3 linked regions of the Rattus norvegicus genome follow. Each later gene encodes a partner of the first gene's protein in a complex. Links are inferred from orthologs where the notes say so. Each region holds a gene or a part of one and is shown on either strand. Other genes may lie near its edges.

Region 1 (5,247 bases):
TTTTTTTTCCTTTTTTCTTTTTTCTTTTTTTTCGGAGCTGGGGACCGAACCCAGGGCCTTGTGCTTGCTAGGCAAGCGCTCTACCACTGAGCTAAATCCCCAACCCCGACAGTGCTCACTCTTAACCTCTAAATCATCTCTCCAGCCCTTGTCTTGGATTTTGCTACCCAGCCCAGACTGTCCTCAAGCTCAGGTTCTTGTGGCCCAGCCTCCTGAGTGCCAAGATTCTGAGCATGCTCCACCATCATGCCCAGCCCTAGCCTTTGATACCTTGCACATCACTTGCTTTTCCTGAGGTACACACAGAAAAATAAGCAGTGTCCGCTTGGGTCTATACCCATGCCATATGACCAGGAAAATAGAAACTCCTATCCCTTTTGTTTTTTTGAACATTATAGGGTGATCAGAGAAAGGAGACTTAGTCCTTGACTTAAATCAGTCTGCTGTTTAGGAGTGCGGAGTTGCAATAAATCAGACACACGTTACAAAATGTGAGTGGCAGTTTTGTCTACATTTACAATTGATTATGGAATTTCAGACTTGTGTTGAACTTGAGGAGATGATTAGACCACCTACCATACAGATTAACTCAGGGAAGATTATGTTACAGCAGTACTGCTGCAGTAAATGACAAGCTCATGCTGTGAATGAATTTACTACATTGGGTGGGATAGTACAATGGTTTCTTGAGGGAGAGATCTAGATAGCATGGGATATGGGTCCCATTTTTGGTCCATTCAAGTCCCCACTCCACACAATATATTATGGGAGAGTCCTTTTTCTTGAACTGTAGGAGTTCCAGGAAGCGCTCGCCCCTGGCTGAGGATATGTCCTTGCAAAACACGAGCCCTCCTAGTGAAGAGGGGATGTCACCCAAAGCCTACCACCGGTGTGTACATTTGCTTTTTCCCATTGTCCCTTCCAGTTGGCCACTCTTGGTCCTATTAAATTCATTTTGCAAATTAGTCAACATATTTGAGTTCCCATTGTATGATAAGAAGAAAATGTTATTGGGGAATACTAAAAAAGAACAAATCTCTTTTCTGGAAGAACTTAGCTTTTACTTGGGAGAAAGTAATACCTAACACTTGGCAAACAGTGTCAGAGTATAATGTGATCTAACATGAGCCGAGCTCGGAGTGCTGAGACGGTGTGAAAGAACAGTTGGATCAGAGTGGGGTGAGATAGATAATGAGGAGAACTTCCTGGAGGAGGTGAGTTTTAGACAGGATTTGTGGGAAAGGAAGAAGAGCATTACAAACATAGGCAGTAGCACTGGTAAAGATCTTGACATGGGAACATTTATCAGAACATGGGAATGAAATTTGCTTGAATCAGGAAGGAGAATGATGAAGTTGGGTGAATGGTCCACTTGGTGGAATATCTAGAAGACCCTGCTTCTTGCAAGTAGTTTTTGAAAGATTGTCGTATTTCCCTGGGGAAACCACAGGATGCTGGTAGGGGTTGGGATGGTTCTTCCTTTTTCCCCTAGGGAGGGATACAATTCTTTCATTTTGGGTTCCTTTAGGAGGTGTTTGGTGATGACTCTGAGATCTCAAAGGAATCATCAGGGGTAAAGAAGCGGCGAATACCCCGTTTTGAGGAGGTAGAAGAGGAACCAGAGGTGATCCCTGGACCTCCGTCAGAAAGCCCTGGCATGCTAACGAAGCTCCAGGTCAGTTAAAAGAAGCAAAGGGATTTTTGTGAGTTGAAGCACATGGGTTCAGGCCCACAGTGATCGTGATTTGAGTTTGTGTTAACTACTTGGGGGAGTTTTATTTTTTCCTTTATATTTTAGCAGTCTTTGGTTTGATCAGAAGTAACCCAGCTAAGAATTATTGAAATTGGATTTATTGAGCACCTGGTATGATACATCATCATCGGAAAAAGAAAATGAAATGACAGCACTTAGCTTGACTTCAGAGCTTCTTTCTGATTTTGTTAGGACATAACCAGGGTTCATGGAGACATCTCTAAAGAGCCTGCACCATTGCCCATGCACACCTACAGTAGGAATTCAGGGTCCGATAATGTGATTATTAACATTTTTAAAGACAAGGTCTTGCTATTTAGCCCTGGCTGGCCTGCGATTCACAATGTATAAGATCAGGCTGGCCTCAGACACAGAGATCTGCCTGCTCTTGCTTTCCAAGTGCTGAGATTAAAGGCGTGTGCTGTCATGCGTGGCTCATAACCATGATTTTTAAACATACTGTGAATGTTTATGTGCACACAGGAACCTGTGGGAGTTACGTGTCAGATACCCTAGGACTGGTTAGAGATGGTTGTGAGCCACCTCGTGGATGCTAGGACCTGAACTCAGGGCCTGTACAAGAGTGGTTGGTGCTTTAGCTCTGAACCATTTCTATAGTCTCCCTGCCTGCTTTTAACATAGTAGCTTGTTAGGAAGCACGCATGCACTGCTTTCCCCCCTTTTAGATTTGTGAGAAGTTAAGGTATTAATGCCTTATCCAAAGAAATACAGGCAGAAAGTGTGGCGCAGTTCTAGCCTTATACTGTCTGAGTCTCAGTCACTGTAGTGTATGCTACCTAATATACCAGTCCTAACTTGGGGGTGGGGAACGATCAGAAAATTCTGGTGCTTAAGTGTATATCTTCTTGTCTGTGGTATAGATAATATATTTATTGTGGAGACATTCACAAAATTTTGGGTCTCTGGAACTGAATGCCTTTTCATTTAGGACCATGTATGGGGGAAATTAATCTTTTCAACCTTTTCCCTCTGGAGAGCAGATCAAACAGATGATGGAGGCAGCAACGAGACAAATCGAGGAAAGGAAAAAGCAGCTGAGCTTCATCAGCCCCCCTGCACCTCAGGTACTGAAAGACGGGTTAGCACATAGTCTGTTGTCATTCGTCCACTCGAGGGTCCAGCAAGTGCTCCAGCTGTCTGCCATAATCTGCCACGGTGTCTATGTGTGTATCTGTGTTATGCCTGTTTCAAACTCTTGGATTTCTTTTAATCTCTGTCTTATAGCCAAAGACACCTTCTTCTTCCCAACCAGAGCGACTTCCAATTGGCAACACTATTCAGCCCTCCCAGGCCGCTACCTTTATGAATGATGCCATTGAGAAGGCAAGGAAAGCCGCTGAACTACAAGCCCGAATCCAGGCCCAGCTGGCTTTGAAGCCAGGGCTTATTGGCAATGCCAACATGGTGGGCCTAGCTAATCTCCATGCCATGGGCATAGCTCCACCGTGAGTATCCTTCACACAGTCCCTTGTCACTTCTAACATTTTTGGAGTAGTTAATTAAAGGTAATTTACTTACATGTTTCTGTCTTTTTTTCTAAGATTTATTTATTTTATATATGTGAGCACACTGTAACTGTCTTCAGACACACCAGAAGAGGGCATCGGATCCCTTTATGGATGGTTGTGAGCCATCATGTGGTTGCTGGGAATTGAACTCAGGTCCTTTGGAAGAGCAGTCAGTGCTCTTAACCGCTAAGCCACCTCTCCGGCCTGTTAATGACTTATTTTCTCAAAGAACATTAAATAATTTCTTACAGTTTTATATTTTTAATATATGATCTAAATTCAGTTGCATTTATTTTTGGCTTTTGTTGTCTGCTTATAACTGGTAGAAATAAAATAATGTTTTCACTTAATAACAGAGGTAAGAATAGAATCAGATTTCTGGACTTATTACTTAAGAGCTTCAGCCACTAAACAATATTGGTTGAGACTCTATATGTCTGCAACTCTAACTCAGGAGGGAGAAGCAAGAATAGTGAGGTAAATACGAATTTAGACTAGTCTACATAACAAGTCCTAGGCCAGCCAGAACTTCGTAGCAAGACCCTGTCTCCTTTGTGATTGGTCTAGCATCCCAAGACTAAGAACTTGGGTGCAAATGATAGAGTTGTTTCCCATGCATCCCAGTAGTAGAACGTCTGGCTAGTATGCAGGAGGCCTTGGGCTCTCAGTCCCTTGAACCACCACAAAAGGGATGGGGGTGAAGGGGAATAACCTAGAAGATGGCTCAATGGTTAAACCACTGGTTCTTCTTCCAAAGGATTCAGGTTCAATTCCTAGTGTCCACATGGTGGCTCACAATTGTTTGTGACTCCAGTTCTGTAGGACCCAATGCACTTACACAGACTTACATGCAGACAAAACACCAATGCAGGTGAAATAAGAACAAAAAAGGGCAGGTGAGGGTTTGGTGGAAAGGTGGCTAGTAGTTCAGAGTACTTGCTGCTATTCCAGAGGACCAAGGTTTGGTTCTCCGTACTCACAGGTTGGCTATCTTTAAGTCTGGTTCTGGAGGACCTGAAAATAAATTTTGAAAAAGGAGAAGAATTTGGGAATAAAACAAGATTAGATAATGACCAGGTGGTGGCAAGAGCACATGTCTTTAATTTCAGTATTTAGGAGGCAGAGGCAGGGAAGTCAGAGTTTGAGGCCAGTCTGGGCTATATTCCAGGATAGCTAGGGCTACACAAACCCTATCTCGAAAAACCAGGGGGAAAAAAGAACAAATTTTTCTCAATATGATTTTAGAATTAATTTCATTTGATTATACCCTGTTTCCAAATACTTGGTTTGATGTATTTTTTGTGGGAGCCCATGAACTTGAATGTGCTGTACAAATTCTCAAATACTGAGATATATCCTCATCATGGTTTGATGTTTTATTTTATATTAACTCTTAGCTAAAAAACAGAACTAATTTACATTTTTTGCTGTTTTGTTTCAAGATTTATTTTATGCATATGAATATTTTGCCTGCATAGATATCTTTGTAGCTCCTGGGTAGATGGTATCTTCAGAGGTCAGAAAGAGGCCTAGAATTCCCTAGAACTCAAGTTACAGGCAACCGTAAGGCCCAACTGGGGTTGAAAATCAAACCCAGGTCCTTTTCTCAACTGAGCCATCTCTTCTCAGTCCCCCTACTCTGATTTTTTTTTTTTTTTTTTTTTTTTTTTTTTTTTCCGGAGCTGGGGACCGAACCCAGGGCCTTGCGCTTCCTAGGCAAGCGCTCTACCACTGAGCTAAATCCCCAACCCTGATTTTTTTTTTTTTTTTTTTAAGATTTACTGTCTGCAGACACACCAGGAGGCATTGGATCCCATTATAGATGGTTGTGGGTCACCATGTAGTTGCTGGGAATTGAACTCAGGACCTCTGGAAGAGCAGTCAATGCTCTTAACCACTGAGCCAACTCTCCAGCCCTCTGATTTTTTTTTTTTTTTAAATGGAGATTTTACCAAGCCTAAGCAC
Region 2 (3,960 bases), on another chromosome or scaffold:
ACAGAATGAGCTGTCTCAATGTGCCTGACGCACCACCTAGGGAGGGTTAAGTGACAGTGGTCCTGCCATTCAGAATCCACTATTTTCTTAAAGCGGTTGAAGAAATGGATTATTTCCCGACACTTGCTCTGCTTAAGGCAACTCAAATGCTCTCTTGGATCAACCAAAAATTAAGTTCCTAGTGAGGGTTAGACCAGAGAAACCAAAACCCGGGTGGTGTGCCAGACCCTGAATGCAGAATACTATGCCAGTCTCATTCTACCAACACAAGAAGTCAAGAAGGTACGTTTGTAGTAGAGTAGGATAAGGGTGGTTAAGTGCCAAATGAAGGGTGGGCCTGAGTGGCCTAATGGCTACATAGGGAATATACTTGGCTATAGCTGGATTCGGATGTTTACCTGGGTGTGCTGAGCATACTCTTGACTTGGGAAGCAGAAGCAGACAGATCTCTGAGTTTGAGGCTAGCCCACAGCAAGTTCTAGAACAGCCAAGACTAACCCTGTTTTGAATACCCATCCCCCAAATGTTTTGTTATACACCACATATCGATGATCTCCAGAAGAGCAGGGCAGAACAGGAAACTGATGGGAGTTTCGAATACTGGAGAAGAGCTAATTTTACACGATACACAACCTTCTTTGAAATTACTGCTGTGCGGTTTACTGTGCAGTTCTGGAGTGTAGGGGCTGTGTACCTGCAGTGAGGTGCACACACCACTGACAGATGAGGAAGAGCTATGAAGCCCAGACACCTGGTAACGTACTCTCTAGGCCACTCTATATAAAAAGCTGTGAATGCCTAGATGTGATTGCTTATGCCTGCAATAACAACCTGAGATGCAGAGGCAGGAGGATTAAAGTCTCAGGCCAATCTGGGCTACGTAACAGAACCCTGTCTCACAAAAACCCACACCCCTCTCCCCAAACCCACTACAAAGTTCTGAATAGAGTAATAGGAATTGGAACAACTCACAGGCCTAGAATTACACTAGATCTCAAAACTAAAGACAGGGATCTCTTTGGACCAATGGCTAGGCTCACAAAATGCTGAAATAGAAAATAATGCTTGGAGGTTTTATAGTAAGAGTTTACTCTCAGCAAGTGTGTATGTGTGTGTATACACAAAAGAGTTTATGTTTGGGAACACCCAAACATAAATTAGAATTTTTTCCAGTTACTTTGACATGAAGTGTTCTTTAATACATAAAGTACACCCATTAAATAACCAACAGGAAGGAGGTTGTACAACACAGACATCATGTTTGTTTTAAAAAACTCCTTTGAATCTGGATACAATGGCCAGACTGTTTTATCACGAAGGATGCCAAACTTCAAAGCCAAAAGGAAGAGCTCTCACAAGGCCCAGTGTGCAGTTCTGAGTTCCTGATGCAGTGAACATCCTCTGTGGATGCCACCAAAGAGGGACAGCTTTACAGTGGAGCCATCGCACAGACGCAGTCTATGGCTCCAGTCCCATTCTTGGGAGCAGGAAAGGAGCTGCTGCCAGGCACATGCCCTCGGAACTGGGGAGATTTCATACAGTTCAGCCATCTTGCTTGCTGAATCACACGTAGTCCCAAGCACACGCCGTGTTCTAGAGAGCCAAGTTCAAGCATAAAATACACAACTGCCAGGCACAACAGCACATTTCTGTAACACCATCACTTGAACGGCAGGGGCAGGGGGATCACTTACAATGTGAAGCTTCCAGACACATATACCAAGTTCCAGGACAGTCAGGGCTATACATAGACTGTCTCAAAATGCCAAATAAAAAAACAATTAAAAATGAAAGAATAGTCACAATCCTGAGTGCTGAGGGAGGCCATTCAAATGTGTTGAAGTTTTGCAGACACCTACATAATGTCTATAGTTTACGGCAGAACCTGAGATGAGAACTGCGTTCTAACCACGAAGGGCTTGCTATCGCCTAAGGACTGGCTTACTCAGAAGTGGGGCTGGCGTGAAAATCCAATCCTACACACGGTATTTGGCAGGAAACATGATAGAACACAACACAATTCTTTTCCTCTGAGGAAGATGGCTCCTTAGTGAGACACAAGGTCAGAGTCCTCCCATGGTCTTGCCTACTCTGCCATCCAGAGCTTGAAGGTTCTGTCATATGAGCAAGTGGCTATGAGCTGCCCATCAGAAGAAATGTCTAGGCCCATCACTTTGCCCTCATGCCCAGCCAGAGTCTTCAGTGGGGACCAGCCTGGGTGGGTCCAGATCTTGGCTGTGTTGTCATAGGCACCCGTGAGCAAGAAGTCCCCATGGATAGCTGCAGGAGACATAAAGCAAATGTGAGGAACTCCAGGGTTCAGAAACAGCCTAGGAAAAAGACAACGATCTTCCAGACAGACCGACCACATGCATTCTACATTCCTAGGGGGGCCTCCAAGATGAGGGACAGTCATGAGGAGACTGAGGACAACCAAGTAACAGATGAAGGCTGTGTGGCTGCTCTTCCCCTGGTGGACAGTTTGTTCAGTACCATCAAGCATCTAGTTAGTGCCTGACCACCCATGGAGCACAAAATGAAACAGAGCCTTCGCAGAACTCCCTGCCTCAAGTGCGCTCTGCACAGTGCTGTCTAAAGGTGTGGCAGAGGGAAGGACACTGAAATTTGCTTCTTTAACAATGCTCCATGTCCATGTCTACTGCCCAGGATGTATTTCATGAAGCAAAGGGTGTCTGATATTAAGGCTGAGAACAAGAGAAAAGCTTACGCTCAAACTTGACACCAGTCACTAAGTTCTGATGGGCGGGGATGGTGTAGACACAGCGTCGCTGTCGAAGATCCCACACCTTGCAGGTGTTGTCACCACTGCCAGTGGCAATGTGGTAGCTGTGGATCAGATGCATCAGTTAGAAACATAGAGTGCTGTCTGACCTGGACCCTTCCCACTCACTGAGTCTGCTTTACCCATTGGGGGAGAAACTTATCCCGTAGATCTCCTTCAGATGGCCTTCTAGGAACATAATGCAGCGTCCTGTGCGTAGGTCCCAAACTCGGCCAAAGGCATCCAGTCCCCTGAGGAGACAACATTTGTGTGAACATATGGAATACAGTGTGACAAGAAAGCGGGGTTGCCTAAGAGGTGAGACTACTAAGCTGCCCTTCCCTTGCTTTGTGGAGGAAATCTTACCCAGTGCCAGCCAAAGAGCCATCTTGATGGAAGGCAATGTCATACACACCCATGCTGTGGCCTTCCTGGTGTAGAATCTCCTCTTGAGCCTCTAAATCCCATAAGCGCCATGAACGGTCATAACTTAAAAATAAATAAGAATAAATTTTCCAACTTACCAAAATTATACCAACGATAAATCAGCAGATTAAGTGTCTATGACAAGGGGTTGGGGATTTAGCTCAGTGGTAGAGTGCTTGCCTGGCAAATGCAAGGCCCTGGGTTCGGTCCCCAGCTCCGAAAAAAAAGAAAAAGAAAAAAAAAAGTGTCTATGACAAGGAACTATAGATAACCATAGCTTAGCTCGCCGCTGGTCAACCATACTACCAAGAGCTGCCAGGCTGGAGGGGGACGGCTGAGGACAAAAGCAGACTGCTCTTCCAAAGGTCCTGAGCATGATTTCCAGCAACCACATAGTGGCTCACAACCATCTATAATAAAATCTGGTGCCCTCTTCTGGTGTGCAGGCATATATGCACATAGAACACTACTAAATAAATCTAAAGGCGGGGCAATTGTATCCTAAAAAAAGGAAAGAAAGGAAGTAAGGAAGGAAGGGGAAGAGAAGGGAAGGAAAAGGAAGGAAGGAAGGAGAGAGAGAGGAAGGAAGGAAAGAAGGAAGGAAGGAAGGAAGGAAGGTAGGTAGGTCTTTCTGACATGAGCAATGCCTCACCGTCCAAGAGTCTGTTTTAGTTGACAGTTGGGAGACCATGAACATTCTGTACTTTAGTGGGTATTCTTTAAAAAACAAATTCCCTGGATTGGGGTTGGAG
Region 3 (5,247 bases), on another chromosome or scaffold:
CCAAGTAGGAAGCTGAGAAGCTTCTTGTTCCATAAAGCCAAAGTAAGTCACAGAAAGTGAATTTCCTGATGGCAGGTCTGATTAATCAGGCCTGCCCGTGTCAGGTGTCTTATCTAGTGGACACAAAGCATTTCTAGCAGAGGTGGCCCAATTCATGTAGATGTAGAGATAGTCAGCCTTCTAAAAGTGTGTGTGTGTGTGTGTGTGTGTGTGTGTGTGTGTGTGTGTGTGTGTCTTTACTGTCCTATGAGTTTTAATGACCTAAAGGGACATTTGAGGCCACATTACTCAATCCCAATATAATTGCCTATGCATGAAGTGGTTTCTAGAAACAGACTTAAGGAAGGAATGTTCCAGAGAGATGGAACCGTACACCTGAAGGCCAGGAGGAGTGAAATAGCCTTGGGTGCCTGATAGTTGAGAGGATGAAGCAGGAAAGCAGAAAGAGTAATGCTGTAGAGCTGATGAGTCAGTGGATCTCACTGAAGGGACTCCTGAGCTGTGTGCACCAAGGCTGCAGGTGTCGGGAACATGGACCACCATCTGTATGGGAGACCTTGAGTGCGAGTCTGAAGATCTTGCTCTCTAGCCTCAGGGCTTCGGAGAGCTATAGGAAGGTTTAGTTTTAGAGAGGATGAGGTCAAGACGAGGGTAGACTGTAGGAGAAAGATGAGGGGCAGGAATAAGGTTCCTGGGGGAGGATTACAAGCCCTAGTGAATGCTTCAACCCCTTATGTAGCCTCTCAGCCCCTGCTTTCTGATTCCATCCAACCGTAGCCCCAGTCCCTGGCTTTGCCCCTCCTCCATGCACACCCCTTCTTTTTTTGTAGTGATGGGACCGGTGGAGGCAGCCCCTGAGTACCGAGTCATTGTGGATGCCAACAACCTGACTGTGGAGATAGAAAACGAGCTGAGTGAGTGATGGGAAGAACCATGGAGACACCCTTATCCTGTGCTCTTCACTCTTTATGACCCAAAGGGAAGAACAGGCATGAACCTGGCCCTCTTTTGTTTGTCTTTCTTGGGCAAAAATACTCCTGATTAGGTTTGTCTTCTATAACAGACTAACTTACATAAAGAGAAATTGCATTCTCCTCCTCCATAAAAGTCTGAATAAGGAAAGCAAGTCGAATCATCCTTTGACCCCCTTCAGCAGCCAGGCTCTGCACCTGTTCATGCTCTAGGATGATCGCTCACCTCCATATCCTTACCAGAAAATGTGGAGGGAAGATAGGGCATGGTTGTTTCCTTATGGCCATGATCTGGAAGTTGAAAAATGTCACTTTGGTTCATATTTTGTAGACCTTTGTAGAACAAACTTCCCCCTCCACATAGCATTGGGGACAGCTAGGAAATATATATTTCATGCTGGCATCCATGTCCCCACACATGATTTGGGGTTGGTTACTAAAGTGGTGGAAGTGGGTGTTGGGGATAGCAGCAGAGTCTGCCTCCCCCTCAGTGGACACCTACCCTCCATGTCCCATTTAGACATTATCCATAAGTTCATCCGGGATAAATACTCAAAGAGATTCCCTGAGCTAGAATCCTTGGTGCCCAACGCTCTGGATTACATCCGCACAGTCAAGGTGAGTGGAGAGGAGTCTGGCTTGGGAAGAACTGAGGCCACTAGACCAGGAAGCCTCAAGTCTAGAAATAACGGGGCTCAGTGGTGAGAGACAGATACTGGAATGGATGTGTCATACACATCCCTTGCTTCCCTCCTCCCCTTGGTTTTGTGGGAGGATAACCACTGACCTGGCCCTTACTTCTAGCTGCAGTTGGAGCAGGAGTCCTTTGATCTGGCAGAGGCCACAGCTGAATAAGAGCTAAGACCCTGAGTGGGAACAAGTAAGGATGAAGTCAGAAGGGGCAGGGAGGGAAGCTTAGAAAGGTCAGAGAACATTAGACGTAGAAGGTGTTGGCTTCTCTAGAAGTGATGGGAGCAGGTGGAGGTGAAAGAGCAGGGGTCCTGTCTCTGCCCAAGAGATCAGGATGGTGGCAGAAGAAGTCTTGTCTGTGGAAGAAAGTGCACTTTTGAAGGCCTCTTTAGTGCACATGTCTTCCTTGGAGGCTGCTCTGCCTAGGTTCTACTTCTGCATCAGCAGAGCAGAGTAGGCAGCACTGATGCTTTAGGCAGGGATGTTGTAAAACTGTAAAAGGCACGAGAAGTCTCCAGTATATGGACCTTAGCTTTTCCAACTTCCTCAAGGGGAGACCTGTGTTAGTGTTCCTAGAATTTCTTTTTCCCCTTCCTACCCCAGGAACTGGGCAACAGCCTGGATAAGTGTAAGAACAATGAGAATCTCCAGCAGATCCTGACCAATGCTACCATCATGGTTGTTAGTGTTACTGCCTCTACCACCCAGGGGTATGTATGCCATATGGTAAGGTGCAGCAAGCCTACAATAGGACAATTAACAAAAGAGAGAGAGGCAGAATGGGGGTCATGGTCAAGGTGGTGCTGACTGAGAATTATGACCCCTAGGCGGATGGAATTTTAGATAGTCCTAGAGCTACACAAACACACTTGCATACACAGCTGAGAGGGTGGGTGGGACTGAACACTAGTTAGAACTGTACCTAGCAAAACTGGGGTCTGTTCCCAACCCTTACCTGCCCCACAATGCAGGCAGCAGCTGTCAGATGAGGAACTAGAGCGACTAGAGGAGGCCTGTGACATGGCACTGGAGCTGAATGCCTCCAAGCACCGCATCTATGAGTACGTGGAGTCCCGGATGTCGTTCATTGCACCCAACTTGTCCATCATCATTGGAGCTTCCACGGCTGCCAAGATCATGGGTGAGGTCCCAGCTAGGTCCCTTTGGCTGAGGCTGCTGATAGGTTAGGTTGCCTTGGGGAAGTGGGGTTTGGCCTTAGCGCGATTGTATTGTCCCCTGAAGACTGAGATCAGCCAGCTTGGTATGTACACACGATAGAAGCATAGCAACTCCCTTCTAGGTTTAGCTGGCTGGCTGAATCAGGTTGCACAGATGGCAAGCCAACTTCTTCCTGCCAATAGGCCCATTTTAGACCCTGGAGCAGCCACAGAGTACTGATGTCAGCTCAAGCTTTCCTACTGGATAGGGCAGCAAACCCTGCCATGTGCTATGCTCTTTCTCCTGGAAGCTCCTGTAGCAGAGTCCTTTCCTTCCTTGCAGAGAGATGCTTGCAAAGGGAATATGGGAAAACTTACCATCTTTGCTCACTGAGCTTCAGGCTTGAGTCCCACAGGCCAAGATGCATATACTCCTGAGGCTACTGTTTCAGAGCTGGCAAGTCTGAGACCAAGTTGCTGTGAGACTTCTCCAGAGGCCTCTGCTTGGCTGTGTAGCCACACCACTTGTATCTGTATCCTTATCTCCTTTTCTTACAAGAATGCCAGTCAGATAGAGTCAGGATCCATATGACCTCATTTTACCTTAGTCATTTCCTTAAAGATTCTGTGTCCTGAGCTAGAAAGATGACTCAGCTGGTAAAAGAATTTGCTGCCCAGGCTTGACAACCTGAGAACCTGAGTGTGGTGATTCCCCCAAACCCACATACAAGAGGGGAGAGCTAAGTCCCATAAGTTTCTGATCTCCATGCACACACCCTACTTATACATATAAAATAATAAAAATAAAATCCCCCTCCCCACCAGAAAAGATCCCATGTCCTGCTGGATACAGTGACTTATACTAGTAACTGTTATTTGGAAGGCTGAGGCAGGAGGGTTGCTTTGAATTTGAGGCCAGCCTTGGCTACTGAGTGAAATACTTGATATCAAACCAGCCAACAAATGAAGGTGCAAAGTTGTCTTAGTCACTGTTCTCTTGCTGTGAAGACACAGCTGGGGGCTTACTTACACTTTTAGAATCTTAAGCCGTTATTATCATGGCAGGGAGCACAGCAGCAGGCAGGCATAGTGCTGGAGATATAGATGAACCACAAGCAGAGAGAGAGAGACATTGGACCTGGCGTGGACTTTTGAAACCTCAAAGCCCACCCCCAGTGACACACTTGTTTCAACAAGGCCATGCCTTCTGAACCTTCTAATCTATCAATGAGTTTTACTTTGTGGTGACTGTATGAGCCTATGAGGGACATTCTTACTTAATCCACAAAGGTATACATGAGTTCCTGGATGTAAACCCTGTGTTCTGACCTCACCTCTTTTTGCAGGTGTGGCTGGAGGGCTGACCAACCTGTCTAAGATGCCTGCCTGCAACATCATGCTGTTGGGAGCCCAGCGCAAGACACTGTCTGGCTTCTCTTCTACCTCAGTGCTGCCTCACACTGGCTACATCTACCACAGTGACATTGTGCAGTCTCTGCCCCCAGTGAGTACTTCACCTTGACCCCTAGCCCCAGCCACTAGGCCTTATCTGGCTTGGCTGGCAATAGCCCTCAGGCTCCTGGAGGATGAGGCAACATGGTTGGAAGAGCAAGGATACTATTCTGGGTCTGCCACTTGGCAATGAGGATGGTTGGGTGGCTGGAAACCAGGGGCAGCTAGAGCATACCCCTCAAGAGGCAGTTATTAGGAAAGCGCACAGGCATAAGGCCTACCTCCCAGAGTCTGGGGTATGGCTGGCCCTAGATGAGAAGTGATTATTGTAGTGGCTGTTACCTTTGCTAGAGGTTCAGTTTCCTTTCCCCTTCCCATTGCTCTAGGATCTTCGGCGGAAGGCAGCCCGCCTAGTGGCTGCCAAATGTACACTGGCAGCTCGTGTGGACAGTTTCCATGAGAGCACAGAGGGGAAGGTGAGGAGAAGATCTTTTCCTTGTGCTTGGGGTCTTTTCATAGGAAGATGCTACTTCAGAGAGCTGTCCAGACTAGCAGACGGCAGTGTGTGTCTCAACCCCAACTAAGGTCATCACATTCTCAGCTCTGTCTATCAGTTATAGAACAGCTATGACAACTCACTGTAGATGGAGTAACTACATATAAAAGTTTGGTAGACCTGCTAGCTCATATCTTTAACATCAGTACTTGGGAGGCAGAGGCAGAAAGGTCACTAGTTTTCGGCAGTCTGGGTTATATAATAAATTTCAGGCTAGACTGGGCTGCATAGTAAGATCTTGTCTTTGAAAAAGGAAAAAGCACAGAGCCAGAGATGTGACTCCATAACTTAAGTTCCTGCATGCAAGCGTTGAAGACTTGTTCAATTCCTAGTACTCCTGTTAAAAAACAAACAGGCCCAATAGTACATACCACTAACTAACCCCATTGTTGGGAAGATGGAAGAGGGAGGACATTTGGAG

What was found. The genes of interacting proteins can lie anywhere in the genome.
Region 2: Prpf3 (region 1) and Prpf4 share a complex: the UniProt entries of both Homo sapiens proteins name them as parts of the precatalytic spliceosome. The link is inferred for Rattus norvegicus from reciprocal best matches to the Homo sapiens genes PRPF3 and PRPF4.
Region 3: Prpf3 (region 1) and Prpf31 share a complex: the UniProt entries of both Homo sapiens proteins name them as parts of the U4/U6-U5 tri-snRNP complex. The link is inferred for Rattus norvegicus from reciprocal best matches to the Homo sapiens genes PRPF3 and PRPF31.

What each region holds. Positions count from the first base shown.
Region 1 is NC_086020.1:186,081,557-186,086,803, reverse strand, and holds part of Prpf3 (U4/U6 small nuclear ribonucleoprotein Prp3), read left to right. Parts: intron 1-1,528; coding exon 1,529-1,675; intron 1,676-2,754; coding exon 2,755-2,838; intron 2,839-2,998; coding exon 2,999-3,219; intron 3,220-5,247. UniProt on the Homo sapiens protein: Plays a role in pre-mRNA splicing as component of the U4/U6-U5 tri-snRNP complex that is involved in spliceosome assembly, and as component of the precatalytic spliceosome (spliceosome B complex).
Region 2 is NC_086023.1:80,886,607-80,890,566, reverse strand, and holds the end of Prpf4 (U4/U6 small nuclear ribonucleoprotein Prp4), read right to left. Parts: intron 3,272-3,960; coding exon 3,149-3,271; intron 3,034-3,148; coding exon 2,926-3,033; intron 2,848-2,925; coding exon 2,729-2,847; intron 2,281-2,728; coding exon 2,087-2,280; 3' UTR 1,132-2,086; downstream 1-1,131. UniProt on the Homo sapiens protein: Plays a role in pre-mRNA splicing as component of the U4/U6-U5 tri-snRNP complex that is involved in spliceosome assembly, and as component of the precatalytic spliceosome (spliceosome B complex).
Region 3 is NC_086019.1:74,495,792-74,501,038, reverse strand, and holds part of Prpf31 (U4/U6 small nuclear ribonucleoprotein Prp31), read left to right. Parts: intron 1-830; coding exon 831-914; intron 915-1,491; coding exon 1,492-1,589; intron 1,590-2,264; coding exon 2,265-2,371; intron 2,372-2,632; coding exon 2,633-2,802; intron 2,803-4,164; coding exon 4,165-4,322; intron 4,323-4,656; coding exon 4,657-4,746; intron 4,747-5,247. UniProt on the Homo sapiens protein: Involved in pre-mRNA splicing as component of the spliceosome. Required for the assembly of the U4/U5/U6 tri-snRNP complex, one of the building blocks of the spliceosome.